Linked DNA regions of Caenorhabditis elegans. The protein of the gene in region 1 interacts with the protein of each later gene in a pairwise test. Each region holds a gene or a part of one and is shown in the gene's direction. Other genes may lie near its edges.

Region 1 (4,558 bases):
TTTTTTCTTAATTTTATTCGTTTGTAAAGTTTTGCATGAGTTTGAAATTCGATGTTTACGCTTTCGAGAGATTGTAAAAAAATAAAATCGAAGGATTTTTAAAAAGAAACTTACAACTTGATATATTAAATTAAGCATTTCTGTGATTTGCTGTAAAATGTGAATTAATATTTTTTGTCCAATTGTATTTATGTTTTAGTGTTTCTGTCAGTTTCAGAGTGATCGTGAACAGTTCCGAACGATGAGACCTCTACGACCAGCAAATGATGTGAAACCGACAATGTATCGACGAAGTGGAAGTTCAGAGGTTTTTTTTGTTATTTTGTCGTTTTGCAGTGTTTAGTGGTTTTTAAAGTTTCCTTATGTTTTATTCTCCGGAATTATATTGTGCGCCGAGTCTTATAGACTCTGCGTCTCACCCTCTGACAATATGATAAGCATGAGAAGTTATGTAAAGGTAGGAAGAATCGTTTCGCAATAACTAGAAATTTATAATACCACTTTATGATCTAGTTATTTTGTCCAGAAAGGTAACACCAGATGAAATAATTTTTATTTAATTTCAGGATATACCGCAAGCGACGTCGGCAACCAGACTGGCACGTCCATTAGCTCCTCCGCCAGCTCGCCCAGCTGCACCACCACCGCCAGTACCAACGCCGTCCATAGCACAAATGTCCAGCAGATTCCAGTCGCCAGCGATATCACGGTTAGAAAAATTAACGATTTTTTGAATAACAAATAATTTTAAGTTAATAGTTTCGAGTAATTTCATGTGTATGTTATCAAATTGTTTTTTTTTAAATTAAAACCGGCACAAATCGAACATTTTCAGGACTCTTGATGATGCTCCCCCACCACCTCCACGAATCGCTTCAAAAACATCAGTTGCTCCAACATCATCTCGGGCTCCACTTCCCCCGTCTTCTTCATTTGCACCTTCAATTTCAGCATCTCCAGCACCTGCCCCACCTCCACCTCCACCGCAGGCTGCTTCACCGTATCCTGGAATGAAATCAACTGCGACTGTCTCAGCGAACGTTCCATTTCATCCACTTAACAGGTATTTTTTAAATTCATTTTTTTTTCTTCGCAATCTTTTAAATTATAGGTTCCACTTTCTACCGCTTTCTCAACTGCCACCACCACCTAAAGTTTCGTCTGGAAGTATTCGTGCCTGATTTGGTGCTGCCAAAATGCCTTAAACTATTTTTCTCATTCTCACAATGCTCATGACGTTTCTTTCCATCAAAATGTTTGTAAAACTATTGAAAATAGTCCGTCAATCCCCCAAACCCGTTAAATATAAAATTCCCACTGTGATTTGATGCCCCCATTTTCACTTTCCCCTCTTTCATTTATATCCAACGCATTTCTAAATGTGTACCACTCCCGATTCTATTATTTTCTCTTCGAATAACATAACCTGTTTCTAGTCCCATTTTTTCCTGGGTTTCTTCATGGTTTCTCAATAAATCTGTGAAAATTGTCATTCAACTCTTGTTTCTAACGAAATTTATTTGTTTTTATCATTTTCCAAATATCTTCACAAAACATATATGTTTATAAAATATATTTAAAACTCAAAAATTGCAGTTATGGAGCCAAACCCATCCGATCCTGTTCTAACAGATCGGATTCAAGCAATCGTGACGACTGAAAAAAGTATTGATGAGATGATGAAGTGTGCTCGAGAAATTATTCAAGATTTGGGAAAAGAGAAACAAATCGGAAAAGTTTGTTAAAATTTTGAAGTTAAAAAATATAGAAACATATTTCTTTCAGAATAAAATGGAAGATAATGCGAACAATTTCAAAAAACTGATAACTCAAGTGGAAAATGAATTGAGCGCTCAAATGCAATACTTATCGCATGTTTGTGTTGGATCATCACATCAAGGTATTACTCATTGGAAATTATTAATTTATTTCTACACGTACTTTTCAGGATCAACATTCGGTGTACTTCAAAACTCACTTCTCGCTCAATCTGGACTTTCTTCTCTTCATTCGGAACTTTTTCAAATCGTGAGATATCTTGATCCAACATCAGATGAACCACAAACTACAGAAGAAGATGAGGAGGACGGATCCGATGATCTGAATGAAGATGGAGCAGATGGTGCTCCATCTTCGACAGTGACGTCATCGACTACTGATGGTAGCGGTGGAGGTGATGACGCTGCAAGTAGCAGTGCTCCGCGAAGTCAAGAAGAAAGTGGAAGACAAATGACGGATGATGATGACGATATGGAACAATGATCTCATTTTTATGTATTTATTTATTATTATTATTACATTATCGTTTTTTTGCTATGAATTAACATTATCAATTTATCTATTTTTCGACTCAAATGGTTCAAAAATCCAGAAATACTTCCCGATTGTATAAAAGCCATTAAAATGTAATCAACTTCAGATGAAATCTTCATCGTCTTGGAAAAATCGGCCATCCTCGTCTTCTTATAGGAATCCTAAATTTTTCGGAGGTAACTAAAGTTCAAGAGAAATCATTTTTTAATCAAATAATTTCAGCGAATCCCTATCAAGTATCCGATTTGGGTGCATGTCAAAGTGAGTTTTCACTTTTTTTGGAAACAATTTATTCACAATCAGCTCTTACAATTTGTAACATCACAGAAAAATTATAATAATTTTTTTTAGGTTACGGTAACCAATCGCACCAACCTACTGTGTACGATGTAACTTACATTGAAAATCTGCGAAAACGATTCAACAGTCAACAGGATGAGCGGAGAAGTGTCAGAAATAATGAAAAATTGGGAAGCGAGACACGGCATATTCACAGAAGACTAAAAGAGTACGATTTTGAACCAAAAATTAAATTATTCAATTTCAGAAATCATTAAGCAAACAATCGTGTCGAGACCGGGTACAGTATCTTCGGCACAAACATTGCAAATTTTCACGTCTGGATAATATAAATCTTTAAAATCTCCCTTTTTCAGAAATACTCAGCCATGTGATCTGAGTACTCTCACCTGTCTTGTCGGATGCTGTGGAAGATCATTCGAACGAATCGAGGTGCTAGCATTCCACGTGTCATATGCTCATCAAGATGTAATGTCTGCTGAATCAAACAATTTGACATGCTTGTTGTGTGGAAAGAAATGGACGACCGTTCGAGTATGCTATTATCAATTGCTTCTTCTGAAAAATAATACTTTCAGAGAAAAATAATGCACCTTTCACTTGCACATCGAGAAATCGGCGAAGAGCATAACAGTCAGTGTATGCTTCAAGTGGAATCGGTTATTGCTCCAAATGCACCAAAGGCTCGGAGATTGGTAAAGGCTAGGATGGCTTATGATGATAATAGGTTGGTTTTTGACTCGATTATAATTTATTTTTAAATTTTCAAAATCTTTCAGACCGCCTGGTGACCCTAAATATGATGGATTGGATCCCTTCTTGGAAAGTGATAATCCCGAAGATGATGAATATACTTATGACACTTGACGTTGTTAATTTTCATGAAAAATCCTAATAAACGGGTAAATTCTGATGATTTTTTCCCTGATTTCAATTGATCCCTTACAATCGTATAAATCGAGCCACTAAATTTTTGTATCTGTTCTCATGAATTTTTTTTTGAAAAACAAACTTATCAAATAGATGTTATTGCGTCGTCTCGGGCAAAACCTGATCCTAAATCAGAGAAGATTTTCCAGTGAGATGGCATACTCGGAAAAACGATTGATTGGGTAAGTAATTTGAAGTATTTAGACGTCGAAAATTATTTAAATTTTTAGATTTTCCCGGGACGAAATGTTTAAAGTCGTGTCTGATGTATCCGATTATCACAATTTTGTTCCATGGTGTCGGTCGTCTACAGTAACCCACGAGCACGAAAGCTCACAGATTGCGACGCTGGAAATTGGGTTTCCACCACTTTCAGAGAAATATTCGAGTCGTGTGATTCACATTAAGCCATCTGTTGTTCATGTTAGTTTATTCAAAGATTTCTAAGAAGGTTTCGGTTTTCGATATTCTATGTGTTTACAGTCTGTCGTCATAGAAAATGATAATCTCTTCCGCACACTTGACACTACGTTCCGGTTTGGAAAAGTTCGTTCCATCAATTTTTGTTAAACCTCTATTAACGTTCACCTTTTTCAGGGAAAACCATCTGTTGAACGCTCATGTACTCTTCACTATGACTTAGTTTTTGAATTCGAGTCAGCTTTTCACTCAAGAATCGCTCATCTTTTCTTCGATAAAGTCGTAAAAACTATGGTTTCAGCATTTTTGCACCGCGCTGAAAAGCTTTATGGACCACCGGAATTCCCACACTCACCACCGCAGGTTTTACAGTACAAATCTTGATTTTTTTAAACTTAGTGACACTGTAATCAGAGTATTTATTTGTAAATTTTAAATTTTTTTTTCTTGCTTCTTAAATAAAAATGTAGATTCAAACTTTTATGTTCTAATTGAATAAAAACTAGCCGTTTCAGCATCGGTATCCTTATTTTTCACTATTTTTCTCAATATTTTTCTGCGGTAGCGAAACACCGATGTCCCGTTTTCTTCGCAA
Region 2 (8,736 bases), on another chromosome or scaffold:
TTTAGTCAAAAATAAATTTCAAATTAGTGATAAAATATGAGAAATATCAGATACTCATTGCAAAAAAAGAGTTTGAAGATATTGTAAATACGTTTTGTTTTGATGAAAACATGTTTTTTAACTCTCAATTTTATATGACTATTATAACAGTTTTTGTCATCATTATCAAAAAGTTTCCAGCAGTTTTTATTTGAAAATATGTATGTGTATCTCTAATTTTTTTTGTACTTTCAGGGAAAATTTGTCAAGCGAGTCGATTTTGTCAATCGAGGGTGATGGTAAGTGTGTTAAAAGGAGTCATTTTAAAACATTAAAAATAAAGGACGATCCGTTCTTCAAGTGATATGCACTGCGGATCTGGGATTCAGGTACACTAGTGATCCCACTGGGCTATAATTTTAGCCACGTCCTAGCCGGGGACTGTGGCCGATAATCCAGTCGTGGATTGCTCCACTTCCAAATAGAGGCTGGGTGAACCTAGGGGGTGAGACCGGATTTGAACTCGTGACCTCCAGATTGCTATCCGCCGGACAGAGCAAAACGCAACTATTTTGCAACTCGACTTATTGGGATTAAACTTACTTGAGTATGCTGAATTGTACGGCGGAAAACTGGAAGTTCCGGAAGCTTTTCACTTGGCAAGACAAATGATCGATTTGCTTCACACAATACATGATAGGGGGATCGTTCACTGTGATATAAAACCAGCAAATTTTGCATTTGGTCTCAATGAAAAAAAGAATCAGCTTAATGTATGTTACTTCTACCTTAAATGTTTTGTGAACTCATGATTATTTGAACAATTTGACACATATAGTCAATATAACTATACCTTTAGCTCATCGACTTTGGATTAGCAGAATCGTTTCTTGATGATAGAGGAAATCACCGAGAGGTACATAATCGCCATTATCGAAAAGGAACTTATGTTTACATGAGTGCCAATCAGCACCATGAACAATGTTTTGGTAAGAGTTTTTTGTTTGCTTTTGTATCAGCACTTCTGATTGAGAATTCAGCTTTTTCAAAAAAAATTCTATTAACAATACCAAGACGAAAGGTTAAACCAAATATTTTTTGTTCGAACTATCTAATTACAGGAAATACCCGAAGAGATGACATGGAGTCCTTGGTTTATTCTTTGAGGAAAATACTTGACCTCACTATGTGCTGGAAAGAAGGACGGAGTGTGAACAATGATGATACTCATAGAAACTATTTCAACTTGAAACAAGGCAATCAAAAAAGTTGTTCACTTTGTGGAATACAGCCGATTAACGATATGCTTCAATCGTGCCGCATGCTCGAATTCAAAGATGAACCCAATTATGAAGCAGTGAAGCAGCTGTTTGTCTTGGATAAAGCTATGTCAAAAGCGTTGAAAAATAAGTTAGTTTAATATGTTTTTAAAGATAAAAAAATCAGATTTCATCAAAAAATTTAAAATTGCATGTAAATAAAATTTTCACTGCCATTTTCAGAAAGCATGTTCCACCAAAAGCTACATTCGACATTTCTTTGGACGAGGATCAACAGGTTTCAATTTGATTTAATTTCGAAAAACAATGATAATTTTATATTTTAGAAGTTGATCGACAAATTCAATATCTACTTCAACGAAGAAGACTATGATGCAATGTGAAACTTCTTTAACCACCTCCTTTGCAGTTTAACAATTGTCAGTTAATCTAGAATAAATTTTTTAAACATGTTTTATAAATGTTACTAATGAAAACAATTATGGGTTTTTAAAGTACATACTTTGTGTAGTCTTGGGTGTCAAAATATTAATCTCCCTACAACTTTCTAAATTTTGCCATAAAAGTTTTTTATGGAGCACATCTGTTGCATTATCTGTTGCTAAATTTACTTATCTTGCACTTTGAGGATTTTTTTAAAATTAATGAGTAATAATGGCAATCACAACTTAAACCAAATGTCAATTGTACTCGAAACGTGTGAACGTGAGTTTTCTTTTTTTGTAGACTTTTCTATTTGTGAAAGGAGGGCGCCCAATTTAATTAGTACCACATTTAGGATGCAAAAATTGTAAATTTAAAGAAGGTTTGTAGAAAAATACGTAAGATTTTTGAATCTTGTCACTCAAATTACACATACAAGTTTATCATCCTCACCACATAGCCCTATTTAAGTTCTGCTAAATTTATTGGGTTGATTCTTCGACAATTGCCCAACATTGTCGATCACCAACAAACAATGCAAATACGCTCCAACTCACACCGATAGGGAGAGGGGTGTGAATGCGCGCGAAACAGCAAGTGAACGGTCTCTCCGTTTACCACACTCTCTTACCTCGTTTTGTCATCTAACGCGCTCTCTCGCCACTCGCCTTGCGCGTCAGCCGGCCAGTTATTCTTTCCTTCTTTTCACATCGTTTTTTTTCATATTTCAAGCTATTTTTTGTCAATTTTCAACTTATTCAGTTTAGAAATGCCTCGCCGAAACTCAACAAAAAGTGCTGCACAACCGTCCGAAGAAACGCCAGCCGGAGAAGAGGTAAAACTGTTTAGGCTTTGAAAATTTCCGCAATTTTTAGTCTGTAGACACCGATAATGACGCCATTGAAAAATTCTCTCTCAATTTAAAGTTGCGAAGCATTATGAGAGAATTGTGAAAACAAAAAAAAACAGATGAAGCTAAAAATGCAACACAAAATAAAATTCAGAAACCTCTGCCGATGTGTCCTGAGGAATCTGCAAAGGACACCACTGTACAATCGTCCAGACCACGGCGAAATATTCGCAAAAACACTCTATACGACAACGAGAACTATGAGCTTGTGAATTCAGCGCCTGCTGCACCTCCCGAACGGACTCCATCAGTTTCAAGAACTCCAAATAGGACCAGTGCTGTTTCAGAGGTATCTACTGGAACCGATAAAAACTCAACTGCTATGATGCCTGATATGCTGAAAGGAGCGAAAAGAAGAAAGATTCCTCCTCATGTTGCTGAAATGATGGAGACACCAGTTGCACATAGGGCGAACTCAAATCAAGTGAGAAACACAGAAAACCTTTGTTCTTAAATAATCCTTTTTTCTTAATTACAGACTCCAAAATTCGATGATCAGTTGATGACTGATGGAGCCAACCTGGAAGTTGCAATGGAATTTGAGGTTCCTCACAATGACGAAGGACCTCCAGTGCTCGGGCCATCTACTGTTTTTGAAACTGAACCTGAAAGTTACAGGGAAAGCGACGAAGACTATAGTGTTAATGACTTTGCTCACCCTCCAGATCTTGAAAGGCACCCGTACGTAAATCCATTATGTAATGACAAAACTTTAATTTTTTTTACAGATTGAGCAAGCGAAGAGGACGTCCACGTCGACCACAAGAGCAGCTGGAGACCAATGTTAAATTGAAACTGACCCGTCCAGCTTCAAAAGCTCAGCGAGCCCCACCAACTGAGCCAGTTGCTGCTAGAACCGCCACTGCTAATCAAAGGCATATTAAGCTATTTGAGGAAGAGTTGGATACAACCCCCGGCGGAGAGTCCTATGCAACCGTGGTGAATGGGTGCCTGACTGAGCTGCTGAGAAAGGAGCGGATTATTGATCTCCTCACAAACCCGGACGAAATTGAGTTGATGTAAGTGAAAAATGACAACTGTTGCAATGCGATATCAATAATCTAAGCACATTATAAATTTTCAGAAAGCAAGCAGGATGGTTTCTTCCAAGACCACCACGTCTTCCTCCACTTGTCACCGACAAAGTATGCTTCGCATTCTACGTGGATGGTAGTCAGCAGAAAAATGCTAAAGATCTCTCCAACGATGACCTCCGTCCGTGGAGTGTGACAAATGATCATCAGAACACGACTGGCGGCCCAAACACAATCAAGCCAAATGTTCGAAGACACCCGGTGGCTCGACTCAATGGCGAGCTGAAGACAGTCAAGCATGAGACACGTCTCGCTGAGTATCACTTAACGGAGTACAGCGCTAGATTACCTCGGGAGCAGAGACTGAGAAAAAAGGTAGCTAAACTGAAGATATTTGAACACAACATTGATTTTCTTTCCAGATTTTCTACCTGACCCGTGACAATCAAATCTTTGGAAATGTGCTTATTCTGTATGATTATGTGAATCCAGGAAATGCCCCAATCCCAGTATGCCTTCCTCATGGCAATGATCATCTGCGAAGAGCAGTCACAGATGATCAAGATGGATTTGACAATGATTTGCCGGTTTGTAATTATATAATTGGTTACCTCATTTATAATTTTATGCTTTCAGTTTGAGCCGCAACGCATAGAAGGAACCCGTGGAGCTGGAGTCTACCTCAGGTTGCGTCCGAACAAATTGGGATGGGCTCAGAACAAGAAAAACTTGCTGGATTATTTATTCAATAAAGTTGACATTCTGGATGAACTTGGCGCTCTAAACAATCGCCTCCCAGATCTTCCGCCACTGATTGAGACGGTCGGAGTCTTTGCATATTTTGTTCCGGCCTGTCATGTTGTCAACCAAATTCACCACGCTGCTGATGGCTTATCTCCATGGACCACTAATCGTGAGTTGCTGTTTGCGAAGCACCAATATGCGGTCGTTTAACCGTTTTAATTTTGATAAATTTCAGCAGGCGCTGGCGAAGGAACACCGACAGTGCGTGTGCGGTCAACAAAGAAGAACTTGATATTGGACGAAGCTCACAATCACTTTATGGTATCAAGAGACCAGAAAACTCCATCCGACTATATTCTCGTAGAGACAATGTCGACACTTGCCAGATGCAAAAGAGTGAGAAAGAGGGTAAGTTAACCAACAGTCCGCAAGTACCACGACGCACATTTGCGTACTTAAGTTTGCGTACTTAAATTTGCGTACTTAAATTTTGCGTCGTAAATCTACACCACACGCTGTGCAATATTTAACAAAATGAAAGGGCATACACCACCTGGGGTTGTTGCTGCTAAATTATCAGACCGTTGACGGAACTGAAATTATAGTGCAGTAGTCATAAATAATGTCATAAAAAATATTGTACATTGCAATTCTTCAATCATTTCAGGTTTTCTATATCCAACAAGCCGGCGCTGTTATTCATGGAAATGTCTGCTACACGTATGAGTTTGTTTACGACGGTCCGTTGCCAACCTTCTACCCACCATTGGACGCGAAGAGTTACAGTAGATGGTCAGGAGGATCACCACTGAAAAAGCCGGTCAATTCAATGGACATGCACTCTCACATGATGGTAGAGCAGGATTCATATGATATGATTCCTGTTGACGATGACGGAATCGTTGATGTCGTTGACGTTCACAAGGAAATGCTCGTTCAGCAGGAGGATGATCAGATGGAGAACCTTCTAACGTATCCCGATACGCTGAACAACGGATTTGATCCAGAATTCAATGATGATCCGATTGATAAAGCCGAGAATCCGAATGCATACTATGATGAGCCCCGTGTTTTGTCAACGGGTCACGTATACTTGACTGTTCGTCATAAAAAGTTGGTTACCGTCATGGATCATGTTCTCGAATGGATTGCAAATTCGAACATTGTGTAAGTTCTTGAAAATGTAATCAGTTTGATTTTCAACTATTTTCAAATATTTCAGTGAGGAGCGTGGTGTCCTGAACGACACGAAACCGTCTCACCCACCATTGGTCACCAACTCTAGGGCCTACGCCTTTTTTGTAGCCGGTACTGCCATATTCCCCCATGACATTAATCGCGACGACTTCTCACCATGGTCTCGCAACGGAACGCCTGATCAGCCGACCTGCTATCGTACAAAAGTTCGAAAGCTTGGAGTGATTTGCGATCCTCAAAATTCAACGTTTTTGGTATGGAATATTTACTGGCACTATTGTTTTAAACGTAAACTGTTTTTAAGCTGAAAGAAAATACCAACTACAAAACTTGTCCATTCCATCTCGTCTACTTGTATTCGATTAATCCAAAGGAGCCTAGACTGCGAAAAAAGGTGTTTTAAACAATGTTATTTGATTTTTATAAACTAATAATTTGGTTTTCAGATCTACTACCTGATGGAAACCCAATCAAAAATGGTTGTCAGTCATGCATTGATTATGTACGACTACAACCATGAAGGCAACATCCCACGTCTCAACGCTGGCCAATACAAGCCACTCACTAAGAGGAGTTACGCTAGAACCGTATGTTTCTAACATCATAAGATTTTGACTTAATAACAATACAATAATTACAGAATCATATGCAGCATGATTTGATGAATGATGTCTCGGAAGGCGAAGAGAGCAGAGATTGCCCATTCATATTGCCTGCAGAGACTGCTGCTGATGGGACGTTTTACCTACAGCTCGATGACTTGGAATTCTGGAATGACCGGAACCGACAGATTCAGTACTTGGTCAATCAATCTGATTTGGTGTAAGTTGATTGAAAGAAAAATAGAAAAGCTAAGCTTAAAAAAAGTAATTTCAGTGAACAACTCGGATGCCTCAACACAAAAGTTCCCGATCTTCCACCATCGATAACTGGAAAAGGAACATTTGTCTTTTTTGTGAACGGAGAAGAAGTCAACTTTAGATCATTGACCACAGATAAACTGACTCCGTGGTCAGAAAACACTTGCTCTAATCCTCGTAAGTCTTATGAATTTTTTACAAAAATTTTCATAGACGTGTTGAGTAACTTCCCGCAAGCTCCATTAGTTTCAGATGGAATAACCAAAAGGCCGAAATCATCAAAAACTCCGCTCGGATTCAATCGTCACAATCAACTGCGAGTCTGCAAGGGGAATGCTCTGGCCGTGGATCCGATTGAATTCCAGTTGCACATTTACACTGCAACATTGCCCCGCTGCACACGGCTTCGCAAAAAAGTTGTCTATGTGCAACGAGACGGAAACCAGTATGGACACGGTTTGATCATGTACAGCTACACTGAGCCCGGAGCTGTGCCACAGCCAATTCAGAAGACTATTCAACCTTCGACTGATGAATGGTTCAGCAGCCTTCCATCAAACATCAGAGAGGATGTGTTCCATTTGCTGAAAACTGCCCCAGTAAATGAAACAGCGAAGATAATTCATCAGGAACATGGAATTCATATTAGTCCAAATATGTTGTTCAGTCTCAAACGGCGAGAACTTTCTGGTTCTCATGCTGACAACGACACTTTTGTCACTGAATGGACCGGAGCTGATGGTGCAGGACCATCGACATCGGCTAAAACTGAGACTGTGGAAGAGGTGGTGATTGAAGAGCAAATTCCAAAAACAATCATGGGTCACGAAATGATGATTGGAGGAGACATGATTGTCGAGCACATTGAAGAAGTTGGAGACGTCTATGGGCAATCAATGATGAGAAGAAATCCATTTTTGGAGAAAAGCGTGGTTAGTGTTTGTATAATTGATTCGTTTTTTAAATTCTCAATTTTCAGACTACTGCTGGATTTGTTCGTGGATCTCAGCGATATGATGCTCTTTGGCGAATTGCGCAAAAACAGTTTGGTTCGGAGTGCATTGATGACACTTTTGACAGCTTGTTCCGACTATTATACGAAAAGAACGAGCAGCGCTTGCTCCAAATGATCAATGAGACATTCCACGTGGACATTTTCTCTGGCGACCAAGAGATTGTGGAGGAAGGTGTCGAATACATGCAAGAAGAACTTGTTGTGCATCCTGGTAATCATCTTGTCGGACACGAGGAACTGGGAAGACACGAGGAACACATTGAACATCCTGAAGTACAAGGCCATTTGGAACATGAAGTTATTGAAGCCCCAGAAGATCCTATGGTTTAAAATTATGATTAACTGGAACAGACATTGTTCGAAAAATCATATAACTGTAAATTAAATTGATCTTATAATATTGTTTTACCCTTTAAAATCCGTGTTATGTCATATCTATCTATTATTCCGTTTTACACCAAATGTTTTTTGCCACTATAGAATGACAAGGTGATCTTTTTTCTGTTCTCAGCAAATTGAAAATCAAACATAATACACTGACACAGATGAAGTTATAATAATGCATAGTAGTTTAAAAAAAGGTATTCGGCTGAATATCTGAATAACAACATTTTAATGTAAGGTGCAAAGCATGGATGTGCGGCAAATTTGCCAAACACGGTAAATTTCAAAAAAGTAGATTTGCCAAATTTTCCAAGCTCCGTAATTTTTTATGTTTGCCCCAGCTGCAAAGGAGCATACAACCCCCATGAAAACCAGTTATTGGTCTGTATTTTCACCCGAAACAGAAACATCTGAAAGGTAAAATTTGGTTAAGCAAATCCCTAATGTTTCAAGTCCGTTACTACAAACAACTCTGTGACCTAGATTCCAGGTTCTGTAAAAAATTTCAAACACGTCACTTTATGTGCAGGGTACTCACCGGTCTTCAATGATAGCCATTTATTTCAAAGAAATTGAAAAAAAGTCAAAAATTAAATCAAATGTATTTCACGCATTCACGTGAAATGTCAGTTTTGAAATAAATCATTTCTTAATTTTAAACTTACACTTTCCGCGGTTTTCTTCAAACTCTCCCTTTTCGATTTGTTTGAATTTCTCGGTTTTTCTATAGTAAATGTAATTTTTTTGAAATGTTTATTTTAGCTGAAAACCTAAGGGAAATTAGTTTACAATTACTGTATCACGTTTTCAGATGGTTGATTTGGTAGGAAAAGTTGTCAAAGAGTACTATGTAAGTTACTTAATTGGTGAAGGATCGTATGGAAGTATTGTTGCTGTAAACGATATGGAA
Region 3 (5,796 bases), on another chromosome or scaffold:
AAAATGCCGCCTTCGCGTGTGCATACCACCAAATATATAGATCTATTTCCACTTCAAATAGCTCTGTTGTCTTTGGTTTTCTTTAAAAATTGTCAACTAACAAAAAACATGCAAAATTACTATATTTTAGTAGTTAAAAAAATAACCGCCAAAATATGGTGATGGGGGTGCACGTCTAATAAGGAAAATACGGTAAGCGTAACTTTGTGAACTTCAAGCACCGAACTTCACGTTAAAATTCAAAAGAATAGACAGTAGGCAGCCTACCTTTTGGAAAATTCTCTGGAAAAATCGTCTTCACAAAATTTCCAAACTATCTGATAACACTCATTCGATGGGAAATTGTCACTTACGCGAGGTTTTTTTTGCCTCCGATTCAGAAAAAAAGTTCCATTTTTTGTTATCATATCATTATTATCAGTTCTAATGGCACATCATGTGTCAAGTGATGAGCACCATAACTTTAAATTTTCAAGGTTTTCGAAATATTTTACTCTTGTTCAACAATTCTTCATTTCAAAATGTGACCGTTTTCTTTCTACACTTATGACACTTTTAATACTGTATCACTTGAATGTCTCTAACTTTTTTTCCATTTTCCTCACAACTTTTCCATTCTTCTATTTTTCTGTAGAATGGACGAGCCCACCTTTTATTACTCCTATATAAAAGCTCTTCTCGGTGCGCTCACCTGGAGCTATGAGGAGAAGAAAAACGGAAAGAATAGAAGAAAAGAAGCGGCAATTTTGTCCCGTCCCTTCTTCCAAAAAGATGAGGACCATGAAGAAGAAAAGCGCAGCACATCCGTCAGAAGAAGACCACAATTGGTGGAGGGGCACACCTCTACTTTAAAATAGCTCCCATTTGCTCGCTTTTACTGGAAACTCTGGGGTCACTGATTTTTTGGATGGTTCTAGACTGTCCTCAAATGTATAATTTCAAAGCTGCGGCAAACTGCTACACCCTGTTGTATTTTCCGTCCAGCAATTTACTTCCAAAAATTCAAACTAAGTCAATAGTTGTTATAGTTTTTAAGTTGGTCTTTGATTATTGAGCAGTTCGGTAAACTCGCAGCCGACCTCGATGGAGTCTCGCGATAGCCTACTCCTGGAAAAAACGTTTGTCTTCTGCTTTCACCTCATGATATCAGGAAACTTATTACAGACATTCAGCCGACAAATAAACGGCTTGGCTTCTACTAGAAATGCTCAATAGATTCTAATTTAGTAGGTGTAGATATTTTCACTTTTGTTTATTTTTCTAAGTATCGAAGTACATATGTTAGAAAGTAAATAAAAATTGCTATTCTACTTTAAGAATTTTCTATATTAAAATAGTCTTTAGTAACGTGGGGTTTTCGAAACTTGCAACTTTTCAAGTGAAGATGCTCCTCACCTGAAGCATCCTGTCACTCTACCGATTGGCTGATGGGCGTGTCGTCTTCCATCTCTTCCACCCGCCCACTTTTTGAGACAGGAGAGGCTCTCGCTCCTCTCGCATCCACAAATGGAAGGCGCCTCTTTCCATCTTCCTTTCTTTTTTTTCTGGTTAGTTGAAGTATCCTTAAAGTATCTTGACGTTTTTACTATATATGACTTCTGGAGAGACATTCGAGTTTTTGGATCAAATATAGAATGTCAAATTTTGAAGAGCAATCTTCTCATATGTCAATTTTTCAATAAAATTGTATCCTACATTGTGGTGGTGTAGAACCCTCAAAAAATAATCTCTAAATTAAGAATTTCTTGATTTTAAAACTGACTAGCAAATTTGTCATGAAAAATCTCAAACGAATTTCCTACAGTTCATCTACCAAATGAATTGGGCTTGTAAACTTTTTCACCATCTACTAAAAAATTCAATAAAATAATAATCTCTTCCCAAACTACACCTCCCTCCAATATCTCTCAGCTTACTCCTAACTCCTATCCCAAATTCGTACATCTACCGTACCATTCCTCCTCCCTGTTCGTTCTCAATGACAAAGCCAGCCTTGAACAGCCATATCCAACTTTTTCGTTGCATTGTTCTCGTTCACAAGATGTATTACTCATCTTTCGCCCCAAAACTGTTCTTGTAATTTGTACAGTTCTTGTTTCTTCCCACGTACAGTTTCCTAAGTTTTCAGGATGAGCATCGACACAGACTTCCTCACGAGTGTTGAGGTAAAGGAGGATGAGCTACATGGAAATGTGCTCATTGCAGTAACTCAAATTGCACTCGGAAGGACCATCGGTGTGATTGATAAGGTGAGCTTTTGGTGTACAATTTTTACGCCGTAGACATTGTCTTAGAGGTGTCCGCTAGAAAAAGAAGTATAAGCTTATTCCCGGGCGTCTAAAAAACTCCACCGGAAAAAATACAGGTCGCTTGAACTGAAATATCTTATAGCTTGAGTAACCTATGAAATAAGCTTTCAGATGTTACACTCATATTTTGTTAGTTAGTAGTTATATGATAACAGTAATTTTAGGTTGTAATTGATAAAATAATGACTTTTTTAAATTAACAAAACTTTTTTTAAAATATTTTTACAAGCATTTTAAATTGATACCTTGGTGCCTAATCTACCTAATCTACAGTACCTTCGCCAACATTTTCAAATCCTTTCCTAATGATTCAACGTTCGAATTACAAATTCTTCCCAGAACCCAAAACCGCAATTATCGGGACCCTGAAATGTTTGGCGCCATGTGTTCCTCCCTGCTTCTTCTCCTCAAAAATTCCTTACACCTGTCTTTCCACCTTTCCCGCTCCCCCCGTCCATTACCACTTTGTTAACCTTGGGGGCACACTAGTAACCATTACATTAGGATTTACAAATCGGAACACCTGGTGCCTTGGTGGATGGGGGATCCGAGATGGGAAAAGAGACTCGATGATCGACTGTAATTGATGAATACAGTCGCTGATGGGAAAATGGATAATTGCTAGGTTTCCATAGGAAGAAGAATTTGAGGAGCTCTATCAATAAAGGAGAGGGATTGAATCCGTTGATCAAGCCGTCAATTTCCTACTGTAGCTGTCGTCGTTATCCAACTTCGTCACAATTCCATCATTGAATTAGTGTATTTCCCCCAGTTGTTTATCATCTAGAGCCGGCGACGGGTCTCTCACACTGATTGGCTTATCACGCACGCACACCACATCAAGCGGCAGTCACTCAGAATCAGAAGCCACTGAAGAAAAAGTTCATCATCTTTTGCGAGAGAGCCACTGATTGCTTATGGTTGCTTGGTGAAGGCAAACCACCTGCTCTCACAGTGGGAAAATTAGATTCCAGAAGCGATAGAGAGAGCGACAGCTCCTGCTTCTTCTTATTAGATATTGATGGGTTTTTGGGCTGAAGCTCACGGAGCACAGAGAGTGGTGAGTTGGCCGAAATGAAATAAGATTTTTTCGAGAATGAGTTTAGAATGTGTGCGATTTGTGAAATAATTGAGGGAGGAAACCCAGTACGCCCAACAAAACCCTTGTTGAGGTACTAAACTGTTTCTGCGAAGATCTGTGGGAAAATATACAGAGATTGCAGGAAAAATAATGCAGTCTTGTAACTGGTGTCACACGGTGTGACGCGCGTGACGTCATCTTTTTCCAGTCCGCAATATATCAAATGAAGTGAAAACTTAAAATTTGGATATGCAGTTTTGAAGAACGCATCGCCAAATACAGGGATTCTTGAAACTTTAATTTTTTATAACTATTCGTGTCCATTTTTTGTAAAATTAAGTCCGAAGAGACATCACCGTTGTCTTACAAGCGGTCATAGAGAAACCTACCCAGCGTGCCAATCGTTTCTTTAATCCATGTTATCACGAGGCCGTCGAAGGTCACCTTTCAGGCAGGCATACATTTTTTTACTACGATTTATGTAGATCCTAGATTCTACACTCATCATTTAGAAAAAGTACTAAAAACAATCACTTACATTAATTTTATAAATATTATTATTTTAGGCTACACCGAATGATTCGAATGCTCTTCTCATCTTGAACCTGATTAAGGAAGCTGATGACGGAGAAGATGCCAATATTTGTATGAGGCAGGAGGATAGAAAGGTGATTATTAGATAAATTTAATGAGGAAGTTATCTAACTATAAGAAAAATTTCAGACTTTTCTACAAACCAGTAAGATTATCAATATTGGAGAGCGTCTTCTTCTACAAAGACTGTCCGAAGAGGAGTGTGATGAGGAGGATCAGGATGATCTTGAGAATTTAATTTTGTTAAAAGATGAAGATCGGTGAGTATGACCCTTGAAAGAAACAAGAAAAAGAGCATGCTAAAAAGGTATGATTTTTCTCACCTTTGAAATTGGAACGATAACTGAACAAGTTGCAAAAACTGTAATTTTCCGGAATTTTTTCTATGATTTGAAGTTCTGTGTTGCTATACATAGAAGGATGTTTGAATTACACATAAAACAATTTCTAAAAAGCAGATTGAGTATACCTTTAATTTTTGAGTTGTTGAGATCAGCGTTAAAAAATTTCAAACCGGTTTTGTCGGTCTTACACAGGCGAATATTCGAAAATAAATCTCGATTTCTAACGGAAAAGTAACGGAAGAAAGATGTGAATCTTCATGAAAATCTTCTGTCATTTTCTTCTCATCGTCCTACTTTCTAACTCCCGTCGTTTTCTCGATAGTTTTCACTGGCGCGGTGAAAGTAACGGATTTCCGATAAGAGCACATCCTTCAGCATCTCCAAGTGAAGCCCGCCCGCTTTTTTTGTGTCCCGTTCATTTACATATAGATTCTACCGCTTCTGGATGACAAATTCGTGTCGGTTTCCGGAGGAGCCCTTTTTTGGGTATTTGAGCCCCTCAAAGGAAATCGTTGATTTATTTTGAGGGGTGTGCATCGGGGGAAGGAAGCGGATCTAGATTTTGCATCTTTTTTGAGAATCAATCGTTTTTTTTGCGGAAAATATAAATTTTTATCTTTTTTTCCGAAATCTTTATATCGCTAACTTAATTTGTGTTATTACCATCTTTTCTATGTTTCTTAAATTTTTAGACGATGATTCCTTGGTATCCCAAAAGTTTAGGTTTCAATTTTTACGTTAGACCTTGAACTTGCCCGATTAGATTTGAAAAGTTTGGGTTAATTTTAATATTTAATAGATTTTTCTAAATCGTTATTCGTATCAAACTATCTAGACATTGCACTTTACACTAGAAAGAATAACACAAAATTCAACTATCAAGTTTATGAAAAAGCTAAAAATTAAAATGAAAACATATTTTTATTTTAGTCATGAACTTTCATTATTCACCACATTAAAAAAGAGTTCTGTAAATTTTAAGAACAAAAATTGAAACTACGGAATATTCAAAAAAACATAACTTCATGCGTGTTTACATTTTTTGATAAAGCCAATAACATCCAAGATTCCAAAACTGCCTAACTTAAAAAGCGAGTAGCCAAACTAATTGTGTTATACGGTTTTGCTATATGATAGTATTAAAAACGTATTATATTTTTTGAGGCACTGTTTTTTAACCTTTCGAAAATCAACCATTTTCAGGCCGGACAGTACTCAAAGCTGCACAAAGAGCAGCAGTGAAGACAGCAATCTAAACGGTTTCGAGGAGTATATTCGAGAACACGGCGAACTTGTACCTGGTCAAACGCCTCCCGACGGATCACACAAGTGTGGAGTTTGTCCAAAGAGTTTTTCAAGTGCAAGGTGAGTTCGTTGAAAAAAAAAGTCGGAAAAGTTATTGGCAAGGTATATCATGCTAATGCACTCTCTCAACTGTTGTATTTTAGCAGGTGTTTGAAAGTGTTTT
Region 4 (4,985 bases), 1.3 Mb from region 1:
AATGTCGGCCACTCAATCTTTTTTCAGAGCAGAGTAGGCAAAATTTCGCTGACTACAAAACTATAGACAAAACCTTTGGCAATATGATCGTCATTTAAAGTTTTTATCCATGTCTTTTAGTTTTGGAGTTCTGTTCATTTGAAGAAAGCCTCACAATGCTGAAAGCGAGCAGCCCGGTAGAGATGCGCGGCTCATTTTTTGGCACTTTGGAAACATTTACAAAATTAATTTTTTGCTCATTGTTGAGCAGAAGTTTTGTTCTGGAAATTTATATAGATATAGAGATTCATTTTTGTGCTCTCTAGAAATAATTTCATGTTTTATTGAACGATTTGAAAAGTTGCTCAAAAACTGTCTCAAATACCAACGTGCCGAGTTACACATGACACTCGGCATATTGCGATTCTGTAGCAGTTTTTCAGCAACTTTTTGAAACTTTCTAACTTGAAAAGCTTTGGGTGGCTTTACATTTGTCCAAAACATGGGACAACTTTACAACTCGTGGATTTGAATTTCATCTAACTATAATGTCACACTCTACACCGGAACTCTAAAAACAACGCGCAATGAGCTCCAATGAAACATCGCGAGACGTGTCCGAAATAGTGACAATTGAAAGTGTCTGTGTGTCGCCCACCAATTTATGATAAGTGTGTCTCATATAGAGGACAAATGCGATAAGACAGAGAGATGGACGAAGAAAAGTTGAATGGAGTTGTAGACGATTGGAGGTTCGGCTGGTGGGGAGGGACACATAAGGTAGGGGGGACCGCCTGTTTGAAAGGGGGGACTCAATGCAACAATAAACGTATTATGATTCATTAAGTTTCAAAACCAAGTAACATTATGGCAAGTATATTGAGGTAATGTAAATAGTGTCTCTCTCATAGACAGCTTATCAGCAAGAGAAAATGGAATTTGTTCTAAGACAGGCTGAAAGTGGTGGGAATCTGTGTTTCAAACTTTTTTTTGATACTTTTTTGGCCAAAAAAGTAAAGCAGAACATCTTTATCATACCTTAGTTTTGTAACAACCAAATTCGAAACTAAAACTTGAAAAACAAGCATTCCCACTATCGCTTTTACGATATCAACCATCTATTTGAACAAAAACAAAATAAGATACTATCATATTAAAGTTTGTTACTTTTGATACTGGGAATGAGCAAAAAAAGAGTTTCAGTTTTTTTGGGCGTGGATCCTAACTGTAGTATTTCAGTCAAAAAACAAGAAGAGCTTGCTTTAGTAACGCTACTGTACCGTACCATTACAATAAACTAGCCAGTATTGCGTAAGTACCCTGGATATGCCGAGATGGAGCCCACAATCAATGTCGCCTGCTCAATTAACAATTTTGAAAATTTAGGAAATTTCATAAATTTTAAAATATATAACTTCCACTTCGCGATTTTTCATGCACAGCCGCAATTCATTGAATAGGTATTCCCCTATTCACCCATTAATATTTTAAAATTAAAAAAATCATATCTTAGCTAGAACATAAAAATATATCTAAAAATTAATTCCAGATGTTTCTCCACTGCACATGAAAAAAAACAAGCAAACAGTTAATTTTCAAAACAAAAAAAAACATTTTAAATGTAAAAATTGTAGCTAGCTCCAGGCTCCAGTCATATGACGAATGAGGTAATCGTTGTTCGTTAAAAAGTATAAAATCACCTTCATTATCGGGCCTCTCATGGGTATTTAGATCATTGAATTGCGGTTTCAAAAAGTAAAAGTACAAGTCCGGGTCACCCACCACTTTTAATGGAATGTGGATATGCTCAAATACAGTGCTCATTGTAATGGGATGGCGTGGAGGATGATTTACCCTGTGTAACAGAAAAATAGTAAAAATGTTTAACACCGGATGTTTCAGAAAAAATCCCATTTCAAATAATTTTGCAGAGCATTTTTTTGAATTCTGTGTAATTCTTCACAACAAACGTACTGGAAAAAAATCTGGAAATTTTTGAATTTAGTTGGGTAAACAATTTTAGAAGCTGATTTTTTTTTCAAAAAAAAAGCTTCCATGCAAATTACCGGGCCTCGCAAGAACTTAAAAAAACTCTTATGAAAAACATTTTTTTGCTAGTTCAAAATGCTCTTCCGAAACTAATTTTTCTGCAGTCATCTATTTTAATAATCATATTGTTTGTCCCTAGTAAGGCTTACGATACCACAATACTTTTTGGATTTTTCTCTGCAATTTTTCCAGTATAAATGATATTTTTGATCATTGAAATGCCTTAACTTTTCAAAAAAAAAATCATTAATTTATTTTAAAAATATTCAAAAACACGCGAGAAGCCAACAGATCCAAGCTGGCGGAAAACTAGTTGCGTGTCAGAAATTATCGTGTCGCGTCGGGTCGCCCATCTTTATTCATCGATTACCTGAAAAATGTGTGACGACGATGATTTCGAATTCTCTACTCAACCCGAGTTCGGATCAACCAGTGAGATGAAAAACGAAGAGATGCTGGTTCCAAGTGATCCAAATTTCGAGATAGACGGGAGACGCGTTCAGGAGAATATGTATGATGTGAGTTGGGATGTGAAATTTTGAGACAATTTTTTTGGAAACAATTCTTCCAAAAATTGAAATAGTCTTGTTAGTCTCGGAAATACTTTTTTGGCTCGAAAAAAATCTTCAATTTAGTTTGAAAACTTCAAATGCACCTACATTGCTGTCTGAGATACGAAAAATGCCATTTTGGCTCCAATTAGCAATTCGAAAATAACAAATAAATATTACAGCAAGCATCGGAACTCAGCTATACTTACCTGGATACTCCATCTGAACATATCTGGACACCAATTGTACCTCTAAATGCCACCACGGTGCCGGTTACCTGTGGATATGTCAAAGGAATTATGCATCTCAAATTGTTCAGGTGCCCCGGAATTCGTCAGGCTTGCATCGAATATGAATGTATGGTGGCTTTTATAATGTGAGAGAATGAATTTATTCTGGAATTTCAGCACAGTATCTGACTCCGAAACAATTTACGGAACTTGGTGGAAAAGGGCGACAGAAAGACTGGAAGGCGTGTATTCGTGTGGAGAATGTTAGCTTGAGGTGAGTGCAGAAAGATCAATAAATTGTATGCTTTGGTTTAGGCTCAGGCGTATGCTTAGGCTTAGGCCTCGGTTTTAGGTTATGTGCTAGGCTTAGGTTTGGGCTTAATCGTAACCTTTTGCTTGGGACTGCTAGCCACGTTTAATTCTTAACGTTCCAGTTTTAATTCATTAAATTTCAGAACACTATTGGAGAACAAAACCATCGATTTCTATAATCACAAGAGTATCTGTCATGGACAGTGCCAAAGTCGCAACTACATGAACTCAACGGGCAGAGCTCCAGTTAACAAACGTCACCTCGAAGATGTTCTAGCTTCCGGAGATGATGCATCTGAGCCAACGGAGCAAAGTAGTGGACAAATTAGTGAAGAGCCAAGTAATATTTTAAAAATCATGGTGCATTTAATTTTAAGGAAATCCTATTTTTTCAGTCAAGAAAAGAGGTCGTGGGCGTCCAGCAGGCAAGAAAAACAAGGCAAAGCTGGAAATCAACTTTGTTGAATCAGAAGATCAGCTTGTTTTTGAAGAGTTCTTCCAGCCAGCTTTCTCAACAAGATCCCCAGCTCCAGAAAGACCTGTGTGCAGCCCAGCTCAGGATATTTACAGTTGTCTGCAAAATGGTAAGGAGTTTTTGCATATTTTCGAGTTTCACTGCCTCTACCTATCAAATAAACTTCCAAATGATTCCAGATCCAATGAGTTTCTGGTCTCAAATCAAGCGAAGCGGCTTCATTTCTCAATTCTGTGATGACATAATTGCCGGTGCTATCAATCTGAAACAATCTGCAATGACTCAATCCTTGAATCAAAATAGTGCATTTGTTCTGACTCGTGCCACATTTGCTCTTGGTATCCAGAAGCCGATTGTGAATCGAGTGCAATCGATCGAGAGAAATGTGAATGAACAGAAGAAGCAAAATGAAATGATGGAGGACCAGGGAAAATATCAAGAAGATGCTCAAACTGAAGCTGACGACTTGGATAATCAACCTAGATGCAGTTATCTTTTGGAGGATCTTTAATAGATTTTAATAATAATTATTTTTTGTTCTGTACTGTTCGTACCAGTACTAGTATTTAAATAAAAGATTTTTTCAAGTTTTAAGTGCTTTCAGAATTTAATCACAAAATTGTTCTATTTCCCAGAAGCTTCCAGTTCAATAAAAAAACTGACCTACAGGCATATAAATAACCACATTTTTTATTGGGTGATCTTGATAATTTTTAAAAATTAAAAATTAATATACGACTTGACAGACAAAAAATAGATTGACAGACGAAAAATAGATTGACAGACGAAAAAATAGATTGACAGACGAAAAAATAGATTGACAGACGAAAAATAGATTGACAGACGAAAAATAGATTGACAGACGAAAAATAGATTGACAGACGAAAAATAGATTGACAGACTAAAAATAGATTGACAGACGAAAAATAGATTGACAGACTAAAAATAGATTGACAGACGAAAAAATAGATTGGCAGACGAAAAATAGATTGACAGACGAAAAAATAGATTGACAGACGAAAAAATAGATTGACAGACGAAAAAATAGATTGACAGACGAAAAAATAGATGAGGCCCCACGAAAAGGGGAGCAGAACGAAAAGGGGATCTGCAAAAAGGGGATCTGCGAAAAGGTGAGATACGAAAAGGGGAGCTGGTACTGTGCCAAACGCACAAAACGCTTTTTTATTCTCATTCAACGCACGACTTTTTTTGTATTTTACGCTAAACAACACATTGTCTCGAAGTTGTCACCACATTTTTTATTGGGTGATTTTGTTAATTTTAATAACTTTGAAAATTAGTATCTGCCTTAAAATGAACTTTTTTGAAACTGTTTCGTCGGGGACTTGTTTCAAATTGTAAGCGCTTTCAGAATTTAATTAAAAA

What was found.
Region 2: the proteins of R144.3 (region 1) and F16B12.6 interact in a two-hybrid assay, tested with the Caenorhabditis elegans proteins (one large-scale study listed by BioGRID).
Region 3: the proteins of R144.3 (region 1) and egl-43 interact in a two-hybrid assay, tested with the Caenorhabditis elegans proteins (one large-scale study listed by BioGRID).
Region 4: the proteins of R144.3 (region 1) and gmeb-3 interact in a two-hybrid assay, tested with the Caenorhabditis elegans proteins (one large-scale study listed by BioGRID).

The regions. Positions count from the first base shown.
Region 1 is NC_003281.10:5,019,628-5,024,185, forward strand, and holds R144.3 (C2H2-type domain-containing protein), read left to right. Parts: upstream 1-2,361; 5' UTR 2,362-2,419; coding exon 2,420-2,489; intron 2,490-2,535; coding exon 2,536-2,574; intron 2,575-2,664; coding exon 2,665-2,821; intron 2,822-2,969; coding exon 2,970-3,147; intron 3,148-3,191; coding exon 3,192-3,340; intron 3,341-3,392; coding exon 3,393-3,480; 3' UTR 3,481-3,584; downstream 3,585-4,558. Other genes in the region: wip-1 (WH2 domain-containing protein), read left to right, coding at 212-307, 567-709, 836-1,063, 1,112-1,181; mdt-11 (Mediator of RNA polymerase II transcription subunit 11), read left to right, coding at 1,599-1,736, 1,786-1,900, 1,949-2,262; R144.13 (Coenzyme Q-binding protein COQ10 START domain-containing protein), read left to right, coding at 3,697-3,725, 3,774-3,966, 4,027-4,089, 4,141-4,347.
Region 2 is NC_003284.9:14,099,908-14,108,643, forward strand, and holds F16B12.6 (DUF7747 domain-containing protein), read left to right. Parts: upstream 1-2,408; 5' UTR 2,409-2,451; coding exon 2,452-2,517; intron 2,518-2,686; coding exon 2,687-3,016; intron 3,017-3,070; coding exon 3,071-3,273; intron 3,274-3,320; coding exon 3,321-3,611; intron 3,612-3,676; coding exon 3,677-4,001; intron 4,002-4,048; coding exon 4,049-4,213; intron 4,214-4,262; coding exon 4,263-4,539; intron 4,540-4,605; coding exon 4,606-4,778; intron 4,779-5,037; coding exon 5,038-5,537; intron 5,538-5,592; coding exon 5,593-5,821; intron 5,822-5,871; coding exon 5,872-5,961; intron 5,962-6,013; coding exon 6,014-6,154; intron 6,155-6,207; coding exon 6,208-6,389; intron 6,390-6,443; coding exon 6,444-6,604; intron 6,605-6,679; coding exon 6,680-7,359; intron 7,360-7,406; coding exon 7,407-7,772; 3' UTR 7,773-8,006; downstream 8,007-8,736. Other genes in the region: F16B12.7 (Protein kinase domain-containing protein), read left to right, coding at 8,638-8,736.
Region 3 is NC_003280.10:9,953,057-9,958,852, forward strand, and holds the start of egl-43 (Zinc finger protein egl-43), read left to right. Parts: upstream 1-2,128; 5' UTR 2,129-2,129; coding exon 2,130-2,249; intron 2,250-3,954; exon of another isoform or gene 3,955-3,956; coding exon 3,957-4,058; intron 4,059-4,113; coding exon 4,114-4,244; exon of another isoform or gene 4,245-4,291; intron 4,292-5,531; coding exon 5,532-5,693; intron 5,694-5,796. UniProt on the Caenorhabditis elegans protein: Probable transcription factor, required for migration of the hermaphrodite-specific motor neurons (HSNs) from the tail to the gonad primordium during HSN cell differentiation. Required for phasmid neuron development.
Region 4 is NC_003281.10:3,766,143-3,771,127, forward strand, and holds gmeb-3 (SAND domain-containing protein), read left to right. Parts: upstream 1-2,357; 5' UTR 2,358-2,405; coding exon 2,406-2,546; intron 2,547-2,761; coding exon 2,762-2,936; intron 2,937-2,986; coding exon 2,987-3,083; intron 3,084-3,264; coding exon 3,265-3,461; intron 3,462-3,516; coding exon 3,517-3,705; intron 3,706-3,775; coding exon 3,776-4,107; 3' UTR 4,108-4,186; downstream 4,187-4,985.